Tamandua tetradactyla: one gene and its partner. The protein of the gene in region 2 purifies or fractionates together with the protein of the main gene of each other region. This does not show direct contact. Links are inferred from orthologs where the notes say so. Each region holds a gene or a part of one and is shown on either strand. Other genes may lie near its edges.

Region 1 (7,561 bases), on a different chromosome or scaffold from region 2:
GAAACTAAGGCTGGAGGACAGGCAGCTAGGTGATCCCACCTGCAGCCCCCACACCCCCCAGGCCATTTTCCTTTGTACCCAGCTAGCCTTACAAAGTTGCAGCTCAAAATAAAGATACATTTGTATCCTTTTTTCTGAGTGTCACATTATAGCAAGCATGTTTCTGCTCCTTGCACAAAACTCTAATGTCTAAAGGACTGGCACCCCTGTACCCCACTTCCACTGCCCAGGGTGGGCACTGCAGCTTTCTATGGTTTGGGGGGGGGGATTCTCCTTAAAGTGCCAATAAATGCCTGCAGACCCTGAAATATCATTTATTCCTCGTCTGGGCCATGGGGTGCCATGCACAAAGTACCACCCTGCGTCGGTGGAGCTGACATTCCAGCAAGGAGGATGGAGGGGTTGGAAGGGGCTGGGAGGCCATTCAAGGCCTTGCTCCTGAGCTGCACAGAGGAGGGCAGGGGAAGGAGGGACAGGGGTAGGCCGGGTGGACACCTTGAGGGAAAAGCATTCCAGGCAGAGGGGAACAGCCAATGCAAAGGCCTCAGACAGGACGGTGCTCGGCACAATCAAAACGCAGTATGGCAGCTGGTGCAGCTACAGTGCAGCAAAGGGATGTGTGAGAGAGGCAAGAGCAGAGGACCTCAGGAATTGCTACAAAGATTTTGGCTTTTACTCCAAGGAAGGCAGGAAGGTATCTCAGGGTTGTGAGCTGGGGAGGGATGCGCTGTGGCTTGCATTTTTAAACGGGTCTCTCTTGCTGCTCATGTGGGGAGATGGGGTGGAAGCCAGGAGCCCCCCAAGTCAGCTCCCTGGGGGAGCCCTGAAAGACCTAGGCATGCAGTGCCAATCAGGTCCTGGGGCTGAAAGGTGGGAGCAGGACTCAAGGGCAGGATCGGCTGCAAAAACTCTCCCTCCTCTGTGCTGGGCCTCATGGCCACATGCTCCCTGACCCTTGGGGGTGTCAGCAGGACAGCTACCGCCCCACAGACAGAGGAAGCCAAAGCACACTTGGCGTGGTTACGCTTCCTGCCTGACCCCCAAGCCACAAGGCTCTAATTTGAGCTGAGCCCTGCCCATCCAACAGACTAAGCTTCAGCCCCGCCTCTGGGTGACTCCCATCCTTGCCCAGATTCCTGGTGTCCTTGGGCTTTTCTCCTGAGCACGACGAATGAATGGATGAGTTAGGGAAGGGGGGAAGGCCCTGTGTGGTCATCGGGCCTTGCCACACTGTTCCTGACCTATCCTCTCTCTGCCTGGAAGTCCCTTCCCTCCTTTGCCTGCCTCCTAAAACTTAGTAGCCTGCCTACTAATTTTTCAGGTCATCATCCCTTCTGGTAAGATTTCCCTAACCAAATCAGAACTCTACTTCCCTTGCCCAGAACAGCACCCCCACCCAGTAAGTGACATGGCCCAGCACACGCTGAGACAAGCTCCTCTCTCTTCAAAGGTCCAGCTCCCGAGGTAGGCAGTGGCTACATAAGGCAAAGATTTCCCTTTGCTGTGATCGTTTACTAAGGAAAACTGGCCGCATTGTAGGAGGGGTGCAGAGGTGTCCCACCAACAGGACCTCAGATCACTGCCAGGAAGGCTACTTGCCGGGAGTTTATAACAACGTAGGAAGATCCTCACCGAAAGTGAAAAATGCAGGAAATAAAGCCGTGTCCTCTGTGCCTTCTCAGCTGCAACATGTGCTGCTGGGCAAGTCCCAGAGGGAGGGCAGGGAAGGAAAACTACCTGGTGGGGAGGTGACAGCAAGGGCCTACATGGTCCTTTCAAAGCTGTGTCTACTCGCCCAGAACAAGGGGACATTTCTGTGTACTGAGCCTGTATCCCTACTGCATGTGTGTTGCTGGCCTAGGGACAGGCTCTCATTTTATTCTCACCAGGATCTGGGAGGCGGGGCATCACAGATGGGGAGTTGAGCCTTAGCTGAACCCCAAAAGACAGGAGCTCATCCCTGACCACCATGCACCCCCCGCAGTGGTCCCCACACGTCCTCACCCATTGTCTCCACCAAATACGTAGATGGCATCTTTATAAGCCACCACTGTGTGCTTGCTGCGCCTGGAAGAAAAGATGGGGTGGGAGTGGGGGGGGATCGTAAAGTCGGACCCTCCTGGAGGGGGGAGCATCCAAAGGATGAGACCAAGCTAGAAGCCTGCTCCCAAAGTGGGGTAACCCCTCTCACCTTCCTACACCTACTGAGGACCCTAAATTCCACCTGCACCCCCAAATGTAAGGGGCTCCCTGGACCTCCCCACCCTGCCGCAGATCACCCAGGGTCCCAGACCAGACACCCCGAAGCCTGCGCCGTCGGACCCTGCCCTGGGGTCACTTCGTTCTGGGGTCCCCCTCGGCGTCCCCTCCCAGCCCTGGACCCCCTTCCCCCACCCCTCCCCCAAAGACCAGACCCTGCCCCCCGGGACATCAGGTCCAGGCCTCGCCCCTGCGACCCCTTCAGACCACCGTCCGCCCCCAAGGACCCCCCTGATCCCGCCCGTACCGAGCGCCCACGAACTCGTCGCAGGGCGGGAGGCGCCGCCAGCGATGCACTGTCTCAAAAGGCCCGAAGTTGAGCGTCAGGTACTCCACGCTGTCGGAGCAGCTGTGATCGAAGTCCACGCTCGGGGCCACCTTGGACCGCGCGCCGCCGGCCAGGGCCCCGGTCCCGATCGGGACCCCCGAGACGCCGGGCCCAGCCATCCCGGGTCGGCGGGATGTGCGGCCACCGCCCGGGTCCACTCGACGGGACTACATTTTCCGGCTCGCCCTGCGCCCACGGCGCGACACTTCCGGCCGGCGCTACCGCACTTCCGGACAGGCCTAGCTGGGCTTGGACACCACGGACGGGCGCGGCACTGGGCTGCGGCCGGGTCTTCCCTGCGACCGTGTGCGGCAGCCTTCCGGCGAAGTACGGGCGCCCGAGACCCGCTTCTAGTGAACGCGGAGCCTCCGCCGCCAGCCCTGTGTGCCTACACTTCCCCGGAGCCCGCCAGGCCCCCGCCGCGGAGGGTCTGCAGTTTCCGGTGTCCCACGCCCTAGACCTTCCGCCGCTCCCGGCATCCCGGAGGGAAGGTTCCGGCCTCACAGCGGCCCCCCCGGCCCCGTGGTCTCCCCTTTGTGTTCTCGTTGGCTCGGGGGCAGCATGGAGCAGCGAAAAGAGCAGGGCCTCTGGATTCCCATTCTTCCTCTGCCATCTACTGGCAGGGTCCCAGAAAACGGAATCTGTCCCAGGATCAGTTCCTGCAGCCCTAGGTGGCAGGTGCCCCCCAAACTGCCAGACATGAGTCTCCCTCTGACCTCTGAAGAAGCATTTCCTTTCTTGAGCCCTCGGCACTCCCCTCTGCCTGGACTGACCTTCCTTCAAAAATCTCCACTCTTTGGGAGAAGCTTTTCCTGACCCCGCAGGCAGAATCAGTTGCTAGCTCCTCTGGGCGCCCCTCAAGCCAAACTTCTTTGGTGAGGCACTGAGAAGTCTGGGGGTGTGCCTGTGTCTTCCCGTGGAGAGCCATGTCCGCTTCTTCCCCCATGAGTGTTTCCCCAATCACACTGGGGGTCACACAGATCTGCAAATGTGTGCATTTTTTATTTTAACGTAATATCTGAGACGTCAAAAGGTCCCGGAGGGGACCAGACCCAAGAGAGGGAGAAGAGGCAGGCCCTGTCCCAACTCCTGTGCCAGCCATCTGTGGCAGCAGAGGCCAGCAGAGGAGAGCCAGGGCATCTCTGGACAGCAGAGACTAGGCAAGGGGAAGGCAAGCGATGGAAGGGATCGAGTTCTGTCCTGGGAGATCCTGGGAAATTGGGAAGTTGGCACCTTCCCCAGGACTTGGCTTCTGTCCCCCGAACCCCGGCCCTCCTGCCCAAGTCTCCTGCATGCGAGCTCAGGAGCCCTTCCCCGTGAGCCAGGACATGTCGCCGGTCCTGCAGGAACAAAAGGAAGAGGAATGAGAGCAGAAAATGAGAGGGTCTCCCACTTTGGGCACCACAAGTAGCTGGCCCTTGAAGACAGCCTGGGGCCTGCTCCATGCCAGGCCTGGTGCCCAGCAGAGGTGTGTACTTGGACAGAGAAGGTAGACCAGAACCCCCTCCGGGAAGGCTCAGAACCCTCAACAGAAAGGACAAAGAAAGACAAACGTACTTGCTGTGCAGCACAAACAGCCTTCGTGAAGGCAAGAGGAAGAGAGAGAGAAGGCCAGGAAGAGGGGATGTCATTCATTGCATCCCCTCTTGGTTCTCATTTCCAAGCTCAGGCCATACACCCCCACGCCCCTCATCCCTGCCCAGTGGCCCCTATCCTCCCCCCACTTCAAGCTTTCCCCAGTCCCTGGGGCTTCTCAGAAGGCACAGGTTGATTCCTATCTGCATTGTGCTAGAGATGTGGGGAGGGGTAGTGGCTGGTGTCCAGAGTCTGCCATGGGTCCCAGGACAGATGACAGTCCAAGAAATGGGCCTTGTCCCATCCCAGAGCCCTGGCTCTGCCCTGGGACACAGCCCTCCCTTTTCCACATCTCCCCCATGAGCACATTTCCCGCTCGGCTCCCAAGCCACAGCCATGCCCCATAGCCCCATCCTGCCCTGAGGCGTGGGAGCTGTGACGGGGCCCCCCTTGTTCTCCCCACCCCAAGGCCTCCATGCCCATACTCACTCCACCTCCCGCTTCCGGATGGCTCGGCCAGAAGCCAGCACCTCGGCCACCTTGGACACAATGGGGTCATAGTTCATGCTGGCCACAGCAATGACCTCATCGCCTCTGTAGGTAGACAATGGCCGGACCTGAGCACTGTCCCACGAGCATCCCCTCCAGTTCCCAAAGGACCCTGACTGACCCTTGTCCACCCAGAGCCCAGGGAGGGGCATGTTCCAAGCATGCAGCTCTCCTGCTTCAGGGCTCCCCTGGGACCCCCATGGAGGCTCCTGGCTTCCTCCTGGGCCTGGCTCCTGTCCTAGAGTCACCATTCTCTCCCTGCTGTCACTTGGGGTGGGGTGTCAACACCTGCCTGGAAGAGCTGTCCTGAAGGTCGAGTGCCGGGCCTCCAGATAGCTATAGGCAACCATTACCCCTGCCTCGTGGCCTTCCTTCTGCAGGACTCCTGCCTCACTTATGTCCACCCCCTTTGCCCCTGGCTCCAGCCATGGGCTGCACCTTCCGGGTAAACCCCCCACTTCTGGAGCACACCTTGTCCCGGAGGAGGCCCCCCTTCCTGACCCATCTCCCGTCCGTTGCACTCACTTGGTGTAAAAGGCCACGAACTTCAGCTCCTCCAGGTCCCCCTGGATGATGACGTCATCGAAGCCTTCCCCATAGCCTGTGGGCCACGTGGAGGGGGTGGGGCTTCTCAGGATCGGGGCCCCGCCCCCTCTCAGGCCCCACCCCCAGCACGGTCCTAGCTGGTGTTTGCTAGTTCTGTCGTGACCCCACCCCCAGATCCTCAGCCCCACCTCCAGGTCCTAGGCTCCGCCCTCAATGCCCAAGCCCCACCCCCAGGCCCTCGGTCACCTGTGTAGCGCAGGCTCTTGCCGAACATGGCCGTCCAGAGGTAGGGGACAGTACTGATCTCTGCCTCCTGTGCCAGCATGTTCTGGGCTGCCACACGACCTGGGGGATCCAGGCCCATGAGATGCCCCCCAGCCTCACTTTCCCTCCTCCCCCTCCACCACTGCCTGACCTGAGCGCCCCCACAGCTCTCTCTCCCCCCCATTGTGGCTCAGCTCACTGCCCACCCACTGTTGCAGCTGGGAGGGGGCACCTGGCTCAAAGCTAACCCATTCCATTCCTTCCCTGCATGGAGAATCTGAATTGAGGTGCCCTGGGGTCCTGTCTACTGTGTACCTGACCAACCAGCCATGTCAGGCTTGAAGAGGGGGACAGATAACAGCACCGAGGGCCCCAGAGAGAGTGGCCATGGGTGGCTGCCCCGCTTCTGCAGGGGTGCTCTGTTGACAGTTCCATAAGCCTCCCAGGAAAACCCTTATGATGCATGACTGATGAGTAGCCTCTATTTCCTTCCAACCTGGCCATAGATCTCGGACTCAGACAGAACTGGTACCAGGAGTGGGGTTCCTGGCAGCCGATACTCCAAAAATGTCAAGACAGAGGGAAGAAGAGGTGGGTGCAGGGTGGAGTCCCCTGTCCCAGGGGTGGAAGGGAGTCTTGGGGTCCTCCCTATGAGGCAGTGAGATGGCTAACTTGCTGGCACTTGCATCTTAAGGGACCCCTGCAGGTGCACATGGCAGGTGTGGCTTGGGGGGGGGCTTGTGTGGGGCAGGGAAAGCTCTTCCTCGGGGGTGCTCGACAGCTTCTAGTGACCGGCTCCCAATGGCCACTTCCCAGGGGCCTGAGCCAAGCCCCTTAGGACCCACCACCTTTTCTCCAGGGCCAGCCATACTCTACCCTGCATGTGAGCCATCTGCCAGTGTGGGATGTTCACTTTCCGGTTGTTTCTCCATGCCAGGGGGAAGGTGACGGCGTCACCAGCCGCAAACACGCCAGGGACATTGGTCTGCATCATCTGTGTCAGGAGACAGGGCCCAGAGCTCCATGGCAGGGTCAGGGGCCCCAGCCTGGACCTCCTACCCAGGGCAGAGCCCAGCACCCACCTTGTTGACGGGGATGTAGCCCCGAGAGTCCAGACAGATGCCACTCTGCCTCAGGAAGCTGGTGGCAGGCACGGCGCCTTGGCAGGGCAGGACACGAGTGGGCAGTGGGCACCGGAAAATGCCCCCCATTTGATAGAGGTGACACTGAGCCTGTCCCACTCCTCCCCCCCCACCCAGCCCGCACTCACCAATGCCCACCACACACACATCAGCCCGGATGATCTTGTTGCTTTTTAGCATCACTTCCTTCAGCTGGGGACAGCAGGTGGGGTGAGCAGGTGGCCCAGGGCAGAAGGGACAGTGAGAGCTGGGTGGCTGGCAGGGGGGGGCATGATGGGACGCGGGTGGCAGGGACCCACCTTCCCCTCGTGGGCCCGCAGCTCAGACACCTCTGTCTGCATGTAGAACTTCACCCGGTTGTTCTCGAACATCTGCCAGGTGGGGGCAGGTGGGCCAGGGGCTGGGCATGGGGGTGAGGGTGGGGGGATCCAAGGGGCCTAGGAGCTGGGCAGGGGGGAGGGGGTGTTGGGGCTCACCTTCATGAGGGCGCGCCCCACACGCTCCCCCAAAAACCTCTTGAAAGGTGTCTCCTCCAGTTCCACCACAGACACCGAGTGCGCCTTCTCTGTCAGGTAGGAGGCCACCTCCATTCCTGGGGGGGTTGGGGGAGCGGCAAAGGGACAGCAGGGAGTGTGGGGGGGGCTGGCACCCTGCACCTCCAGGGCTGGCAATCTCTTTCCCCACCCCCGCCTCCATCCCGCGATGCCACCCACCCAGGAAGCCAGCACCCACGACGACTGCGTTCCGGTCCCGAGCCAGCCTGCCCACACGATTGGCATCCTCAGGTGTCCTGATGGTCACCACATTCTCCACCTCTTTACCTTTACAGCTCAGGGTCTTGGGACTGAGATGGGACAACCCTCCCCAGGGGTCAGCAAGGGGGTCCCCCAGCAGCTGA
Region 2 (7,137 bases):
CTGTTTGGTATTCTTTGGCAAGAATTGGACCTTGTCTGATAGAAAAGGACCAATCCAATCATTCAGCAAACATTGACTGAGCACCATCTACTATGTGTTATATATTCTAAAGAAAGAGTGATGAATGAGACATGGTCCCTGCCCTCAGAGAGCTCATGGTCTAGTGGGAGAGACAGACAAGGAAGCAAATAATTATAATGCAGGGTGTTAAACTCAAGACGCAAATACTAGATGACAGGAGTAACATAGAATAGTGAGTGATTAACCAGTGATCTGGAAGTGGTGGGTAGGGGTGTCAAGTGAGAAAATTATGTTTGTTTGAAAAAGAGAAAGATTAGATTGTATATTTAAAAGAAAAAAAAAACAAGGCAGAGAATAGCCATAGGTAAGGAATGGTCCTTAGAGTAGTGGATAAAGAGGGAAATGTAATATATGTGGTAAAATTTCCCGCTTTCCCTCCAGAGCTAACTTTTAGCCATCCTAATGATAATAAATTTGGCCTAAGAGTAAATAAGAAAAAAATTTCTGGGCAGGCCACAGTGGCTCAGCAGGCAGGAATGCTTGCCTACGATGCTGGAGGACCCAGGTTCAATTCCCGGTGCCTATCCATGTTAAAAAAAAAAAGAAAAAAATTTCTCACTCTAAATGATGATTGGCAGTATGACCTTATCTTCTCTGGGTGTGTTTCTTAGAAAAATGGCAATAAGAATTGTTTGGATCTTTTATAGCCAATATACACATAGCACAACACACGTCTCATTCATAGACAGTAGATATTTTGGAGCAAGTTTGAGAGGAACTTTGGATTTTAGAAGTGAAGGTGTTTGGGGGCAAAGGTTACAAAGTCACAGTCACAGCTTTGGAAGTATCTTTACTCTTACACCTGAACAAATGTTTTAAGTCAAGAGAAAATGGTGAGGTAGAGGTCTAAGAGTTAAGGTGGCTAGTCTTCATTGGTTTCAGCCATTCAACACATATTTACTGTGTCTGCCTGCTCTGTACTAAACTACTATGTAGTAGGGACTAGGGATATCAGGGCTAAGGAGAGATGTGGGCCCTGCCTTTCTGGAGCTTACAGTCTAATAGAGCAGGCAGACACTGGGCCAACATACATAGAAACAAATGCATAAATGCTAATTATGATCAGTTTTCTGATAAAAATAAGAGAGAAAGCTGTGTAAGAGAGAGTAACAGGGAGTCTAATTCAGTTTGGAGAGTAGTTTAGGAAGATTTTCCTGAAGAAGTGACTTTTTTGAGCTGAGACTTACAGGGTGAGTCAGATTTGTCTGATGGAGGTAGGGGGAAAAGGGAGTATAGCTTTCTAGACAGAGACCTGAAACTCACACTTTAAAAGCAAGAAACAAAAGTATAACCCATAGCAAGGCTCCTTCTTTGTAATTTATTTTCCACTTTCAGATTGTGACCCTTACTGTTCATGTTAATTTAATAAAAATGTGGTTTTGTCTATCACCCACACTCCCCCAACTCTACTATAGCCTTCCCTCCTAGGCCCTGTAGCCAAGCATTCAAAAATGTAAGGAGGCTGTCTCAATCCATGTGAATCTACCTTATTTATTTTCTGTAAAATGAGAATCATAATTTCACTATCAGTATTTTAGTAGGATTAAATGAATGAAAGCTCTTTAGAATAGTATTTGGTACATGGTAACTCAATAAATGTCAACATATTATTTTAGTGCATGCATGTGCTATAATTTATTTATGGAGTTTGCTACTGATGGGCCAGTATGTTGTTTTCAATCTTTTGCTATCACAAAACATGGCTACAGTTGAACAGGATGACAGTACCATACTTGATTTCATTGGCCTGAAGTTAAGGGCAGGCCAGGTAGACTCCTTTGTCCTCTGGCTCTGAAATTTGCCACTCAGAGTGAATCCAACCAGCCAGCCAGCTAGCCAGCTTTGCCTTGAACTTGGTTTTGTTACCCATATCTCCATCAAAAGCTTCCAAGCATTAGCCTATTAGGGGTGTGATAGGCAACAGTTCCAGAGAACTGTTCCCTTACACACCCGCACGCCCACACACAGCTGTGCCTTTGAAAACACTGCTGAGTTCTCTCTCCCAACCCACTCAGTTAAAACTCTCCCTTTGTTAGTTCTCCTCTCTGAATCCCAGGCCTGGGAGTTGAACTTCTAGCTCAATATGAATTAATTAGCTGCATGACTTTGGATAAATCACTGATACTGGTGTCCTGGGGATCACTGGGCAAAGTAAGTACAAAAGTGTAAATATTGGGTTGAGAGACTCCATTCTCGCCTGTCTCCACTCAATGGTTTGCATTATTCAGGTCCTGCCATTTCTTACTCAAACTTAATCCTAGAACCATTTGCTGCCTGCTTAGGGGAAAAAGCTGTATTTGTTTAAAGTTACTATTGTTTTGAAAGTATACATCTGCATGCAATATTTAAACACATACACACAAGTAAGCCAAGTTAGAAGCCAATATAGTATTACCTTGAGGAGGGGCATACGGGGGCTTTGGCGTGTTGGTAATGTTCTATTTCTTGATCTGGGTGCTGGTTACATGTGTGTGTTTAATTTATGAAAATTCACCAAGCTGTACATGTTTGCTCTTTTCTGCATGTATATCATACTTCAATAAAAAGGAAAAAACAAACAAAATAAAACAAAAACAACCCAATAACCTTAAAATGTACAAAAGAGCATATGTGGAAAAGTCTCCCTCTCCTTTTCCCTGGACACACAGTTACACAGTTCCCCTCCTGTGAGGCAACCACTGTTACCTTTCTTGTGTATCCCTTCAAAGCTTTTCTGCATATAAATGAGTTTATGAATACATAGTCATTTTTTCTTTAGACAAATGACAGTATATTATGCACACTGTTCTGGGTCTGCCTTTTTTCACTTCATGATATAGCACAGGGATCATACCATATCCTTAGATAGGGAAGAGAGAGAACACTGTCAGGTTCGTTGTTGGAACTGCAGTGCATAACCCAGTGCTTGGCATATAAATATACTTGCTAAATAAAATAGACTCTTCCAGAGGAGTGGCTGGTTGCAATTCTGAAGCTGTAACTTCTCTATGGTATGATGAACTGAACCCAGAGTCAGCTTTACTGATGCAAAGGAGAAAATACCATACCTAAGATAAAAACATATGGAAGAACCAGGGGTTTCTTCTCTGCATCTCAGCTCACCTAGGTCAGCCAGAAGTTCCTATTGCACTGATGCAGAAAGAGGTGAGGTGAGAGGGTGCTTTTAAGGTACTAGACCCAACATCAGGACGAGAGCATTCTCCTCTTCTGTAGGACTGTCTCGGCAGGTTCCAGAGACCCAAGATCTGAAACAACAATGCTGGATGGGTTCAGTCCTTGGGACTGACTAGCTGCGGCATTCACTTTTTCATTGTCCTTTTTGGAATATTTACCTTTGGTCTGGAATGAAGCAAAATCATTCCAGACCCAGCCCTGCCTTCCCTGTGCCCTCCCAGCTATCCCAAGCTGATCCCAAGACCGTACCCTGTAATCCTGAACACTGTAAAACCCCCCAACTTTTTGTGGCATTTGCCTGGATAGAAGAAATCAAAGGTTTGCAAAGGCTGCATGATTCCTGAATGAGATTTGAAGTCGGATGCTATTTTTATGAGGGGCTAAAATTAGCTAGACTGATGATGGATTACAGGATATATCCAGTAAGGAGTGAGATGGAGCTGCGATTAGCTGCGCTTATTCTTTCCACCTGAGCATCATGACCCCTAAGCAACCTTTACAGGGTCTTTCAGTCTGCAAGTGGCGTGGAAACAGATGTAGGTACCTCACAGGTAGGTGGAAGCCGCAAGTTAATAACAGCCCAAGGTGTCGGTCACCAGATAATTCGGATGTATTCAGTTCCTCCTCTAAAGAATTTAACTTCGTATAAATCCCACATTTCTTCCTATTCCTCTCTCTTGCAGACCAAAGTCTCCTTTCCTTTAGGCCCGCAGCCCCTCTCCTGCACCGAGTTCCTCTTGTTTTCCCCTTCCCCTGGCGCCTCTCCTTCTCCTCCCTCGTCCCCGGGCTCGTCTCTTCCCCTTCCCCCCTCCTCGGGCTCCCCTTCTCCTCCTCCCCCTCCCTGGGCTCCTCTATGTCTCCCCCTCCCGGACGGCGTCCTTGCACCGCCGGGCCTCGTCGCCGCCTGTTTGTGAATGAGACGCTCAGTTTCTCAATGGAGCCGCGGGGGGCTCGGGCGGTCGCGGTGCGGCCTCAGCGTTGGCCGTGAGCCGGGAGGGGGGCGCGTTTTCCTCCGTCGCTCCCAGTGGTTACCTCCGCAGCTTCTGAGGAACGAGGTTGAGAGGCGGCCGCGCTGGTCGCGGGGGCCCGCATCTCCGAGGACGCCCGGACCGGCGGCCTCCAGGCTCCGTCACGTTCTGGAGGAGCGGACGTTCCGCGGAGGAAGCGGGGCCCCGAGAAGGCCGGCGGCCTTTGCGAAATTTCCGCCGCGGACCCTTAGCTCTGCTCCTTAAAAGTTATTTCCCAATTCCTTTTTAAATCGCGATTGACTACAATCTCCTCGCCTACACTTCTTTTTTTTTTTTTCTGGGAGAGGAGTGTAAGGAAAAGAGCGAAGAAAATAAAAAAAGGATTTCCGCCCAGGAGAGCGCGAGAGATCTGAGACATTTTTCTTAAAAGAAGCGGCGTTTGCGGTGGCTGCGGGCGCCGGGGCCCCGCCGTCCGGACCATGAGCGAGCCGGCCTCGGGCTGCTGAGGCGCGGGGACGCGGAAGCGGAGAAGGAGGACGCCCCGCGCTCCCGGGCGAGTTCTGTCGGCCGGGCGGCTGCGGCGGCGGCGGCTGGATGGAGCCTGCGACCGCGCCCCGGCCGGACATGGCGCCGGAGCTGACCCCGGAGGAGGAGCAGGTAAGCGGGACTGCAGCAGCGGTGGTGGGTGTGTCCGGGCCCCCTAGGCCTAGGCCGGCCCAGCCTCCTGAAGCCAAGCTCTGTGGCAGCGGCTCAGGCCCCGCAGCGCCCCCGCTCCCGCGCTGGGCGCATGGGGTGGTCTTTCCCCCGGCGACCGCACCCTAGGTCGTCATCCACCGAAACGGAGGGGCGCCGCTGGATCTTGCCCCAGACCCCTGCCTTGTCTACCCCCGAGGCTTACGGGCCTCATTTACCCTCACCGCCCCCCTCACTCCCATCCCGGTGGTAATTAAAGTTCCTTGAACTGGGGCGCCTCCCTTTCCCTCTGCTTTCTCCTCCCCACCCCCGCCCTATACGTTTGCTAGGAAGAGCCGGTAACTCCCTTTGCAGAACACCTCCTTGCTCCCGACCCTTCCACGCCCCATGAATGTTTTCCTTCTTTCCGTCAGGGTTTATGGTTTTTTGAGGGCAGAAAAAGCCCCAGTTTGGGGGGAGGGTGTCCTCTGGAGATTATTTCCTTTTCCGAGGAGAGTGATGATAGGCATTGATTGGGTACATAGATGCTCTAGATTTTCAAATAAGCTCCTCAGGCTTTCTCAGAGGGCTGTGGCAGGCCTTCCCGGTCAGATCCTGGAAGATCCTGGCCTTCCTAGGCTCCTGAAGGCCCTGGCCCGGGCACATCCCCTCATCCCACTTTTCTGCTGTTATTTCGAAATATCTTGACTGCCTCCATCTTTCTGAAGCCTGCATTGAGCTCCATTGTCCCTTAAAGCTTATGACCTTCAGTCCCCATAAGGAAGTGGTTTGGTGGTATCATTTTGCGGGCTTGGGTAAAGGAAAAGCCCAGGACCCTTTTAACTTTCCATCCCCCACATTCCAGCTGTGGAGACACAGATCACTCCTTCTGAAGAAGATAGGAAAGTCTGTTAGCTTGGGAACCTTAAAGGCTTTTTGCGGTATCTTCTTTGGGCCTGCTCGTACCCAGCTTTAGCTATGCACAAATATAGCCATAGTATGAAACAAAAAACATATTAAAAAACAAAAAAGCAACAAAAAATAAAAAGATGAACCAGACTAGTAACCAGTTTTGTGCTCTCCAGCCCTTACTCCCAAGGACCGCATTTGCTAGCACAATCTCTGGCATGGAGACCATCTGGTTTTACAAACTAATATTGGTTAATGGGCTTCTTTAAGATTTGCTTTATGTATATATAAAACCTTGACTTTTCTTCTTATTTGTGGAGATGACATTTTTCATATCTGGCCTCAGATCTTGCCTTTTGATCAGCCTGGAGATAAAATCAGCATGGGGAAAAAACAACAACCTTGCTCTATGCAAGCAGTGGTAACATCCTGATAACTGCAGTTGAGTGTTAATGACATACTAGTCAGGACCCACTGCAAGCAGGTGGTCTGGGATACCATCCTGCCAGAACTATTGAAATACTTCAGTATTAACACATAATGTGTTAGGTTGATTTTAATGGGGCAAATCTCATTCATCTTTTTTTTTCTTGGGTTAGTTAGGTTTGAAGTTTCTTTGTGGCTAAGACTTAAAGGTAGCAGTATCCTTCAGTGAAAGTGGCATTAGGTTGCAAATTAAAATATTAAAACCAGAAAAGTAAATATCAAAATATGGATGAAGATATTAACTTGGCTTTACTCTGTTTTTAGCCTGTATACTTATATACACTTCTGTTATTTAATAAAATCCTTTCGCATTCGAATGCGTGCAATAGGCATTAAAAAGGACTGCATTAAAATAGTGAAATATTTATATATTAAGGTCAAGAGGTTGTGTGTGTGTGTATGAGTGTGTTTGAATCTTACCTTTTGTTTTCTACAAAAGGCCAGGTTTCTACAAGCATTTCAAAATGATGACACACAAATATAAAAGCAGCATAGTTCTGATAATGGTAAGGCCTCATGTTCTCATCTTTTAGTTTAATATCACATAACTATTAAGATTCCATTAAAATATTTAAGCTAAACAGCAAATATGTGTTAGCCTCATCAAAGTAGTCATCATGGGAAATGATACTGTCATTCCATAATGCTGCCCCATTTCTCAAACAATTTTAGAACTCATTTGTAGTCACTTTCAAAACTTGTGACAGAGTCTGAAACATTTTCAGTGTTGGAAAGTCCTTGTACTTTTAAGAGTCAATTTTATTTTTGGAAATAGCAAAAAATCTTTTGAAATCTTATTTCATAAATAAGGTGGGCTATCAGACAGTTTCAGGCAAAACTGAAATGC

What was found. Proteins that work in one complex are often made in the same cells at the same time.
Region 1: the proteins of PTPN9 (region 2) and LZTR1 purify together in Homo sapiens (affinity purification with mass spectrometry; 3 studies listed by BioGRID and IntAct, with this or other methods). This does not show direct contact. The link is inferred for Tamandua tetradactyla from reciprocal best matches to the Homo sapiens genes PTPN9 and LZTR1.

Annotation. Positions count from the first base shown.
Region 1 is NC_135331.1:26,804,920-26,812,480, reverse strand, and holds the start of LZTR1 (leucine-zipper-like transcriptional regulator 1), read right to left. Parts: upstream 3,019-7,561; 5' UTR 2,707-3,018; coding exon 2,507-2,706; intron 2,068-2,506; coding exon 2,005-2,067; intron 1-2,004. Other genes in the region: AIFM3 (apoptosis-inducing factor 3), read right to left, coding at 3,888-3,927, 4,652-4,756, 5,237-5,312, 5,504-5,602, 6,398-6,515, 6,604-6,680, 6,792-6,855, 6,963-7,034 and 2 more. UniProt on the Homo sapiens protein: Substrate-specific adapter of a BCR (BTB-CUL3-RBX1) E3 ubiquitin-protein ligase complex that mediates ubiquitination of Ras (K-Ras/KRAS, N-Ras/NRAS and H-Ras/HRAS).
Region 2 is NC_135338.1:66,378,017-66,385,153, forward strand, and holds the start of PTPN9 (tyrosine-protein phosphatase non-receptor type 9), read left to right. Parts: upstream 1-4,118; 5' UTR 4,119-4,817; coding exon 4,818-4,880; intron 4,881-7,137. UniProt on the Homo sapiens protein: Protein-tyrosine phosphatase that could participate in the transfer of hydrophobic ligands or in functions of the Golgi apparatus.